2 linked regions of the Caenorhabditis elegans genome follow. The protein of the gene in region 2 interacts with the protein of the main gene of each other region in a biochemical or structural test. Each region holds a gene or a part of one and is shown on either strand. Other genes may lie near its edges.

Region 1 (5,834 bases), on a different chromosome or scaffold from region 2:
TGTTAGTTAATACTAGACAATCTTTAACAGCTACAGTCTGTTCCCGGAGGCGCTTCTCCATCGCCTCTTTACTCGCCCTCTTCGTGCTTCGTCTTCTTTGTTGTCACAGTACTTACACGATATTAAACATTTTTATGTACATAGTTTTGTGTATTTTTCTCGTCTTTCATTCGCACTTCTCACTTTTCCGAAGCAATTTCAGTGGAAGAGGCCGCGAGGTGATGGGAGGTCTCCGAAAAGGGAGGCGGAGAATACATGAATCGCGCATCTGTAGAATGCCACTGATGACTTTCATTTAGGATTAAGCTATAAAAATTGCTAGTTTGAAAATGAAAATAATAAACCCAAAATTTTCTATTTTAAAACTAATAAATTTACTAATTTCATCGATAAAAATAATCTCATAGACGTAGACAATTGGCATCAGCTGAAAATTTGTATTTATAGAAAAGCAATTTTTCAAAGCGAATTGCTAAACCCTTATTTATGAGACCGAAAAACAAATATCTTAGTTTTTTAGAAATGAATTATATTTATTTTACGAGGCATTTCATTGATCTGGAATGATTCGATGTTTGAGAAAAAGTCATGAAAGAATGGAAAACAATACTTCAAAAATAGAGATCTTGTCGCTAAAAATGTTGAGGAACATCGAAAAGGGGAAGAGAGACATCAGAAAGCTCAAATAAAACAATTAAAAAAATAAGAAAAGCTCACTGAATATTTTCAGTGGTCGATCCTCATCATCAGAGAAGGAGAGATTATAAATTCAAAAAAAAAAAGAAATATACCCATTGTGATTAAAACTGAAACTCTAAAAATCGGGGAAAATGTGTTCACGAAAACGAAACTAATCAAAGAATCCAGGTAGCCCATTGTATGTTGTCTGACCCTGTTTCAGATTATTATTTGAATTATTTCCATTTAAAACTGGCATCACACGTGGACCCATTACTGCTGCTGCACTTCTTGCACGGAATTGGGAACGGAAATCTCTGAAATTTTATTTGATAAGTCTTGCTAAAAAATTAAATATTACCTTTTCTGTTTCTGCCGTTGATTGCAAAACCAGACGCGAACAACATTTTTCTTCAAATCCAATCGATCGGCAATTGAGGCAATTCGTTCTCCAGATGGTCTTGGTTGTTGTCTGGAAATATTTGTTTTGATTCGTTGATCTCTAAAGTATTGAGTGAAAAGCAAATTTGTTTAATTTTAACATAATTTTAGCATGTATGATTTTGAATTTATACTCTCCCCTACTCAAACTCACTTGAAAAACTGTTCTAGTTCTCTTTTCTCAGGAGCAGCAATACTAGTTCTCTTCCGTTTCTTATCAGTATTTGGCAAAATTCCATTGATATCTCCAATTGTATCTTTTTGTTTCATAGCCTCTTCAGCTTTCTCCAGCCAGGAATGTAGAATTGGTTTCAGTGCGACCATGTTGTTATGGGAAAGGGTGAGAGATTCGAAGCGGCAGATCGTGGACTGGGATAATGATCCGACACCAGGCATTTTCAGATGAGCAAGTGCTTTTCCAACGTCCGCCTGAAGTATTAAAATTAACTTTTGGACTATTTCTGGATTGCAATCACTTTTATTGGAATATATGTATAACATTCTGAAACTAAAGTTGAACTAACTTACTTTTGTTGTATTTAAAAACATAATTAAAAATGTACATACGTAGCCCTACTTGGCAATTAGTTGTTATTTCTCATCTAATTCTACCTACTTTTCAACAAACTAGCCATTTCTCCGGTGGCTTTTACTGAAATATGTAGATAAATTTAGCAGAATATAAGTTGGTGATAATTGTTTGTAAGGTGGCAGAAGCCTAAGTAGATTGAGAAGTGGCTACGTACTCCCGAACGTTTTTGTTTTTCAAAAAACCTAAAGTTTACTCATAATTAAGATAGATAGATAATTAAGATAATTAAGATAATATAAGAGTTAACACCCAGTTGTCAACCCTTTTATACTAACCTGTGTGACTCCTAATTTTATTCTTCTCTGCTTGAAATGCTCTGCAAACGTCTCCAATTGTCTCGGATCAGTGTCCATATCTGAAGTTGGCGGGGCAATTGGGTAACGAGCAAGATTATTAGAACTGGCAATGGATGTTGTTGAAAATGGATGAGTCATATTGTATTGAAATGGTGGAGGTGCTCCATATGATTGTTGCATTGCCATTACTTGTTGTAAGGGTGTCATTTGATCATCTGAGGATGTTGGCACAACTACAGATGCATCGAATGGTTCTGAAGAGCTTGGGAGTCCTTGGTAGATGTTTGTGGCGGCGGATGTGTCGTGGATTCCCGAAAAGTAGTTGCTATAGCTGAAAATAAATAGAATGAAGTCCTGAAAGATGGTCAGAGTGAAAAAAAAGAAAATTACCTGAACATATCATGTGGTCTCATAAGTGGATTTGTCAACTGCGGCACATTTTTAACATCAATATCAGCGAGGGCAACTTGTGCAGCTCTTGCATTGAGAATTGGGTCATCGAATGATCCAAATAAACTGTTGTTGAACTGAAATTCAAGAATCTTCATGAATTAGGAATAGGGGAGGTGTATCGAAGAGTGTTTTAAACATTTAACCTAAAGTGGGGGAGGAGACAATTTTAAACTCTTTTCGTACGTCAATACTTCATTCTATTTTTAATTTTCACCTGTTATCCTGAACTGAAACACAATGAATATAACACGTAACGACCTAAATGTGTAGTCAATAACTAGGGTGAAATCATTGAGAAATATTCAAATCTCGTTTCTATTTATCTTTAGTGTTTTAAATACGTTTAAAAAATCTTTTATGAATATACTGTTATTGATACTTAGTGTTTTAAATGAACGGCAAAAAATTTCTGATAGAACAATCCATGTGACTATTTCCGTGGTAGAAGCCCTCCTCTTTGAAAAATTAATGGAGGACGGAGTTAATTATTAAACAGGGGGTATTTAGAGTTCAGTCATTTAAAATGAGATTAGATAGTCAAAAAAAACTACTAGCAAACTCTAACAATTAAATAAAGTGCCTCAATATTAATTAGACTAATTAAAAAATATGATTACCATGAAATAGGGCTGCTAGAATTTTTATTTGGAAACTACTCAGAACCAGGTAAACCAGTAATGTTATGACCTACTACTATGCTAACAACTGATAATAAATTACATACAAAGTTGATATATTTTCTGGAGATTTTAAGAAAATCATCGCAAAGCTTAATTTAAAAGTGAAAATATCTTTGAAAATCAATATTCAAAATTGTAGAAATCCATTGAAACTTGACATAAAAATCAGCAAGCAGTGTTGTTCATCAGTAGTAGAAATGACATTTTCTGATTGTTTTAAAAAATCAGCGAAGTTCGAGTGTATCCCTCTTAATGTGGCTGTTTTAGAATATTTATTCATTATTGTACTGTACAAATTAAAATATGTACTTTTATAGAGGAAATAAACGTTTTCGTAAATCTAGGCCAATGAAAAAATGGTTCAGAATTTCCTTTCCAGCAAAACCATAATTTTTTTTTAAAATAATGTGATTGACGTAACGTTATCATATGATTGGATCATTCTAAAGAAAAAGCCTGGTGAAATGTAATTTGAATCAGTGAAACTGACAGTCTACATATGTCGACAATTTACAGTTAAACTAACAAAAAATGAAAAACAGAAAGACGGTTCAAAACAGTGTGAGGAGTAAGTAGATACGTGTGTGGCTCACTGTGAACGAGATGAAGGGAAAGAGAGAGTGACCTACCTAAAAATTCACTTAACTTAATATTCAATAAGGCTTGGCGGGGGACCCCTGCAAGTAGACACACATACAAAGAATGAATATTTGATAAAAACGAGCCGAGTCTCTAATCAACAATTCAATGAATAAATCCGTAACGTATGGAAAGTCAACTGGGAGACTTACTTATTCTAGAGCTCACACTAAACAGTCTAATGGGTTTAGCCATACTTATCAAATCGAACAATGAGATTTATGACTTACAGGTTGCATTTTTGAAGCGGTTGTCGTCGTCGGTACGGGTGCGGTGTTCTGCATGTCCGTGGAAAAGAGGGGGACCTTGAAGCTGGGAGGAGACAGATGTATACGGAAGGGTCGGGGGTCCCCTATGTCTTGGTCTCCACCCCTTTTAGGCAGCTCCCATTGGATGATTTTTCTGGTCCGTTGGAGGGTACTGTGGCTAGTGCACGCCCCATTTTCAGAACCTCTACTGATTTTGGAAGGGCGGAGAAGGGGGTTGAAGAGGGGGGAAGGAAAAAAGAGTTGAATTAAAAATGGAGCGGAGTGATGAAATATTAAAACCGACACAAGGAGAGGGACGGGAAAGAAGGAGCAAAAAGGCAAACGGAATCGATGTGCCTTCTCCATTCATTCAATTTCACTTTTTCATTCGTTTTCAACTTTTCGTTTTAGAAAAAAAAAAAATAATTTTAATGCATTTTCCACAGCTGGAATTCTGAATTCTGCTACTATATTTACCATCAAAACTGAAGTGGTCCATTTTGGAAATAACCAACTTCGATTACTTTTCAAGCTGGCAACTTAAAATTTAAAGTTTTCTTTTTCGTAAATTTTCAGTTTCGTAAATGTCAAACTACAGTGATTCTTTAAAAAATCGTACTGTTATTCTTAAGAAAACATTGAAAACTTAAAACATCATGTTGATAACTTGGATCCTCAACCTTGAAGTTCCTGTAAAATTTGAAATTGACTTTACAAAAATTCGCTGAATTTTCCCCTATTCTTGGCAGTTATTTTTCGAGCTGTTTTCAATACGGTTTGAAATCAGAAAGCTTGAGACTCCCCTGTTGTTAAAATCGTTTATGAGCTTCTATCTGGAGCGGCCAGCTCCACCGTGTCGCATAGCTTCATCTGAAACATAAGTAGGAAGACAAGTAGGCAAGCAGGCACGAGGCAGGCTACGATTGTTCGCTTTTTTTATCATCAAAAAACATCGTTCATGTAATGACGTTAGACGTTAGATTGTAATGACGTCACAAGTTTTACCTACAGTAATCCTTCCAATCGACATTTTATTCTATTCAGTTTTTTTTTTCCAGTAACCCACATCGAGGTTTTTGTTCTTTTTCCCTTTTATTCCATCTTTTTCTTTTTCTTTTTCTTTTTTCTTCCCATACTACCGTATCAAACAAACGAAGGAGGTTAAACGAAAAAGGAAAAGGATGGATGTGAAGAGACACATGAGCTTCGTCGTTGTCGCCCCGCCGATGCCCGAGCAGAAGAGTCATACATTAATAATAAGGTGTGGGAAGAAGAAGAAAGAAAAGAGACTACGATCGGAGACAGAAATTGTCGGATTTTTAAGAAAAATAATGAAAAATAGAAGGGATTGAGAATGTATTTTATTCATGATTGGTCAAAAAAGTTGAGAATGAGATGGGTCCCGTGTTTTCTTATTTCTTGTGTAATAATGGGGTAGTTTATTTTGTATTTATTCGGGGTAGCTTTTCTATTTAGAAAAAAATCAGATTTTAACTGCCGTAATGGGGTTATTCAAGTAGTGTCGGAAAATTAAAAAGTGTAGAAGAATTATTTCACAACTGTATTCAAGTATATAAAAACATGTATTTAAATACATGTTTTTATATACTTGAATAACCCCATAACAGTTAAAATCTTGATAACTGATTGCAAGGTGATTCTACTTCTAAAAATTATAGATACTGACTCGTTAAAGTTCAGAAATTTTGAATGAACTTGTTTTCAAATTCAAATTTTAAATTTAATCATAAGTTTTAGCAGATATGTTTTTTTTGCTCATATTGTTCATTCATTTCAATATTAAATC
Region 2 (5,537 bases):
TTGATCTGAAAGTCTCAAACGTGTGCGTCATTGGCTAATTGTACTTCAAGGGGGCTGGTTTTAGATGTTGGAAAATAAGCTAGTAATTACAGGTAAAACTAATATTTTCTCGTTCTGGGGAAGGAAAGAAAAAGTGTGGAAGTTGCGAGGAAATAGTTCACTTAGCTCAGTAAATTAAATTGTTTCTTTTTCCGAGGAACTACAACCCGTAGCAAAAACCTATTTAGTTATTGGAATAGGTATCACGAAGGCGTTGACAAAAAAACACACCTACTATATTTTAATGCTGAATTTTCAAGAAGTTTCCTCCATTAATTTTTAAAACTATTTTTATACAATTTACACAATTCTTTGACGGAAACATTAATTATAGAGTTACATAAGTCTTTTACAAGGGTTCGAAAATCTTTTGAAAACCAGCTAGTTGAACCGTTTTCTTTTACGAGGAAAACAAATCTTATTTCAATCAAGGTGACGGAATAATTGAAAATTTTCTCGTTTTTAAACCAACAAACCCAACACAAAAACGTAGCATTTAGGATTATTTTTGAATCGAGACAAAGTGTGAGAATTTTTAAGATTTCGTGATTTTATGATTCATGGACAATTAAAAATGGAATCATTGAGATCAGATTATCGACTGACATTCAATTACTTATTCGCGCAAACGTGAATATTTGAACAAGTTCAGAACACAAGTTTTGGCAAACATGTAATGAAATTCAAGATTTGGGAAGGAAAATACATTATGAAATATATATATATAAATGGAATATATTGTTTTAAAAATTAAAAAAATCTTCATCAATCTTCATCATCTTCCTCTTCGAAATTTCCGCAAAACGCGTTGAAGTCAGTTGTGTCCATTTCTTCTGAAATGAAAAAAGAGAATAAAAAAAAACAAGAATGCAAGAGCAGCAAAAAGTTCGAAAGAGCCAAGCCATTTGGTTTGTGATTTATGACGTGGCAACTCAAACTTTTCTGGATTTTTGCTTTCTGTGCGTATTCTGGTGTACTGCCACATCAGTGTTGCTTAGATTTTCGAACAAGACAACAGACAATAATTGGAAACGCGTTATATATAATTATAGGGAAACTACTCAATAATTAAACATCATGAAATTCGAAGAAAAAATTCTATGAAAATAGATTTGAACAATCAAAAATGAATGATTGAGAAACTTTAAATACAGAAAATTAGAGAAACGTGAGACATGTTTCCCTGCCTAAGCGCCTATCTATTGCCTGTTTTATGGAGTTTTAATGGAGTTTTCAGTTATAGCCGGAATTTCAGTGAACGGAATAGATTTACGCATGCTTTAAGACAGTAGGTAGGCATATGTGTAGGCACGAAACAGGCACTTATCGCCACGAAAGAAGGTAGTTTTTTTTCATCTATATAAATTATTTGCTTAGAGATTTCGGATCTGAGTTATGAACAAAGTCCGATTTGAAAAGTTTTAGTGTCAAACTTAATGTTTATGCAACAAAACAACTTGTTAAAATGTTTACTAGTCACTATCTATTTTTTGAAATTTCAGAGCTATTACTGCGTTTTCCAGATTGAATCTTTAAACTAACCATTTCTAAAATGAATTGGCGGAGGAATGAGCCCACGTTGCTCATAATGTCTCAAGTAATTGCACAAATGTTTGAGCCTCCGTTCCTTACTTCTCCGGTTTTGGAACCAAACCTGAATTACTCTCATGCTTAAACCGGTCTCCAATGCCAATTTGGCTCGAGCATGTTTCGACGGCTTTGGTGTATTCGAGAACATTTCATTCAGCACGTCCAACTGAAAATCATTATGAAAATTTCCGCTTTCTTACATTGTATACCTGATTTTGTTTGATTGTCGTTCTAGGTCCGCGTCTTTTTAGCATTCGTGAATCATCATCACAGAAATCGGAAAAGCTATAATGCTCAAAGTTGTATCCATAAGCGTCAACCTCCTAAAAATTAAATATGCAGTACATTATTCGGTATTTAATCCCTTTAAACTTTCAACGAAAAATAAAGTATACCTTTTTAACTTGGAAAGCTGATGAAAAAGATTCATCAATTGGATATGGGGCAATTGGATTTTCTGTCGAACAAGATGGTATATCAACTGCAGATCCTATTGCTCCAGGTGCGTTGTCATCCATTTGAGGAGGATAATGTGACATACAGGATACGGTCATCATTGTATCGTCAACAAGAATTTGTTCCCCCGGTGATAAATGCCGTCCACACAAAGAGCAACAATGACATTCCACATGGAACACGAGCCCAGCCTGTAAAGTTCTTTGAGTCAAACTTTACCGATCAAAGCCCCAAGCTCTATGCTTGTGCGTCTAGCAGGATCCCGTCAGAGCAAAGAGCAAAGCGTAAAAAATGATTACATCTTTCAAAACTATTAGTCAAAGCTTTGGTTTTTTTTTTAATTTGAAATTGTAGGCTTTTTGAAATCTTTCGGGCATTCCTACTGTTTATACAAAAGTAGTCAAAAATTTAATTGATAAAAAGTTGACAACTTTTTGTATAGGTTCGCTCAAAGTTTAATGTTTTCTTAAACATTCTGACCCAATTTAATACCTTCAGTTTATATACCATATCTGTCGGTGACACTCCTTTCTTGCAACCCGCACACCGATGAATACTGTGATCCCTGAAATAATGTATTTTTATTAATTCCAAGAATATTTTGCTAAAGCTTACTTATAATAATGTTGACTACAATAAATTCTCCCATTTTTCCAAAAACACTTTTCGGCCAGAGGAGACTCACATATTGTACATTTGACACAATTTTCGTGATACGATCGATTGTCCATCTGAAAATAAATGATGGCTGAAATCTTGAAATGTTGTTCGAACTATAGAAGCAAAAGAAAAATATTCAAGATTTTGAGCAGACTGTTTACAGAAGCAAAGCAAAGAAAGTTTGAAAAATCCACAAACATCAGCAAACTTACTCGATAAATATAACGATCATAAATTTGCTCATTGCAGCAATTACATTTGTTCTAGAAATATTTAAAAAAATTATAGAATGTTAGACACAAGTTTCACTAGAGATCGTATCGATAAAATGAGATTGGAAAATAGAATGAATACCAACCAAAAGTTTACACGATTGACTTTCAGAATCTAACTTTCAGAATTTTTAGAAGATGCGGTAATTTTACTTGACTCTCTGAAAGTCGAACAGAAATTTTCCCTCGTGCGGATTTTGTATAAATTTCAAATTGGAATTTCTTGACACGCAGAAGTCTTTGTAAAAACTTTCAAGCAAATGCAATGTAAGTTTTCGATTGATGTTAATTTCATTTTTCTGACTCTCAAATTGTTACTTTTAAATTTTTTTAAAGAAAAATTGTTTTCTGATGAAATTCACAACTGCTCAAGTTTAATTACTCACCTGATTTTCATGATCAACTCCAATTGAATCAATAACCATACTAATCGCACTGAGAGGCTTTGACTCTAACATTTCCATAGTTCAAATGAAATAAATCAGAAGAACAAATAACAGTGAAATTTAGAAGAAAATGCGCGAAATTGTGGCTACTCACTGTAACAAATCACCCGTCAAGAGCCAGATGTCATGTAGGCGTGGCATGCCAATCCAACAGGAGTCTCTAGACCCTGATCGATTATTAATGTGCGCTAAAACTGGTGTCTCCAAATGGTGACGATAATAGATGCATTTCTTATGAAGCTAGAAAGTGTGTGTAAGGATAAGCACTAAAAAGTTGTCTAGTTGGAACGGGCTCTCTCTATCGATCTCCTGACGGTCACTTGTGTTTTTCGGTCGATTCATTATGGGCAATGCATTTCGAATGAATTTGTTGTTTTTTCAAATGTTGTGTGAAGAATATATGGAAAGGACGTTGTAAAGTTTTATAAAAATTTGAATTTGAATAATCTTGTTCTATTACTCCATAGTTACAAAAAAAAGGAACGGAACGGCGGTGGAGAGTTTCTGACTATGCTAATTATTGGAAAATGTTATACTTGAGAATTCAGATTTTCTATACAACATTAAAAATTATGGTATGGACGTCTTCATTACTGCCAGCCTACTACTTAAAAAAAGCTTTTACAGTGAAGTTTCACCCAATCTATAGTTTGGGAGGTAAAATTCCGCGACATTTCAGTAGGTGGGTGCGTGTCTTGGCAGGAGGCATGCGTAGGTATCCTTAAAATCATATCGAATCATTTGCTCCAACTCGGCATTTGGAGGCAACTTCCTGCCAACAATTTGGCAACTTATTTTAGTGGCACTAAATAAGTTGCCAGGTTGTTGGCAGGAAGTTGCCTCTGAATGCCGAGAAGTACAAAAACTATCAGTATGTATTCATTGTTTGTTAAAAATTGAAATGCAGTCCAGAGAGTTTTCAAAATCATTTCCAAATTGTGAGCGTAACTACTCAGTTGTTGGTGTGTTTCGCTTATTTTCTCCTTTCAACTGGGTTTTTTTTTCAATTTATGTTCATTGATATTTCATGAGTTTTAATTTTCGTTTTGATTGACAGTACGGAACTGTCACAAGATAACAGTAAACCTGTCAATAATGTTAAATTTGATCTTTGTAGAAATGAAAGTACTAATTTAAATGTAAATATTTGCATTTGTGAAAAATAGAAGCCAGAAAATGAGAAAATGAAACCAAAAGTCATTTTCTAAGTAAAACGCGATATTAGAGGCTGCTGGGCAGAATTCCAAGAATTTAGAAAATTGCAGAAAACATTTGTTTTGATAAATGTCTTTAGGAATGAAATCTCAGAATACGCCAAGTTTTGCATATTTTATTATCCTTTTACAAAGTAATCAACCAGATTGTATTAATTGTTATTTCGCAACTAACAAAACCCCTCGTTTCAGTGCTCATTTTGAGTTTTAGTCAATTTCTACTCCCTTATTTGCAACTAACCATGCATATAACTGATAAAATAGGCAGATGATAAACTTGTCACTTTATTTGTTTTACAGAAATTAAAGACCCAAAATCACAATGAATGCTCTAACTTCTGCGCGTTTTTATCAAGAAACAGACTGTGTGTGATGACACACCAGCTCGGTGATAAATCAAAGAAAATGAGATCATTTTTCGTAGTTTTCCTTGAATCACAGAACTGGGCAGAAGCCTTATTCACGTGAATATGAGCATGATACGGTATTAGGTACACTTTCTGAAAAGATGAAAAATTCAATTTCTGATGAAACACATTTCTTCCTGATAAGGTAGTGAAATGGCCCCAAAAGATAAAATTTCAAAATGAAACTTTTTATAAATTCTATATTTTTTGGTGGTTAAAATTTTAACAGAGAAAGTCTGAATTTATATAAGATAACACCATTTCTATCTTCGCCAACTACTCCGGGTACCTGCAGGGCAAAATTAAAAAAAAACACATCGCTCCTCATTTTGATAGTTTATTCCGAGAGTTTTAAGATGTAATTTTTATCCATAAAAATCCGAAAATAGCACAATCGAAGATCATATAAACTGAAGATCTACCCAAATCTACAAACAACAAAATAAACGACAA

The links. Proteins that work in one complex are often made in the same cells at the same time.
Region 1: the proteins of mec-3 (region 2) and unc-86 form a complex in vitro, tested with the Caenorhabditis elegans proteins (one study listed by BioGRID).

What each region holds. Positions count from the first base shown.
Region 1 is NC_003281.10:8,212,234-8,218,067, forward strand, and holds unc-86 (Transcription factor unc-86), read right to left. Parts: upstream 4,104-5,834; 5' UTR 4,064-4,103; coding exon 4,010-4,063; intron 3,898-4,009; exon of another isoform or gene 3,754-3,897; intron 2,535-3,753; coding exon 2,398-2,534; intron 2,339-2,397; coding exon 1,987-2,338; intron 1,549-1,986; coding exon 1,274-1,548; intron 1,151-1,273; coding exon 1,040-1,150; intron 996-1,039; coding exon 851-995; 3' UTR 513-850; downstream 1-512. UniProt on the Caenorhabditis elegans protein: Transcription factor required for correct cell fate determination and differentiation in diverse neuronal cell lineages where it plays a role in specifying the fate of daughter cells during cell divisions. Involved in sensory neuron production and function.
Region 2 is NC_003282.8:10,458,286-10,463,822, forward strand, and holds mec-3 (Mechanosensory protein 3), read right to left. Parts: upstream 3,583-5,537; 5' UTR 3,482-3,582; coding exon 3,404-3,481; intron 3,009-3,403; coding exon 2,958-3,008; intron 2,817-2,957; coding exon 2,701-2,816; intron 2,651-2,700; coding exon 2,578-2,650; intron 2,277-2,577; coding exon 2,025-2,276; intron 1,953-2,024; coding exon 1,839-1,952; intron 1,796-1,838; coding exon 1,582-1,795; intron 873-1,581; coding exon 805-872; 3' UTR 531-804; downstream 1-530. UniProt on the Caenorhabditis elegans protein: Transcription factor. Specifies differentiation of the set of six touch receptor neurons (TRNs).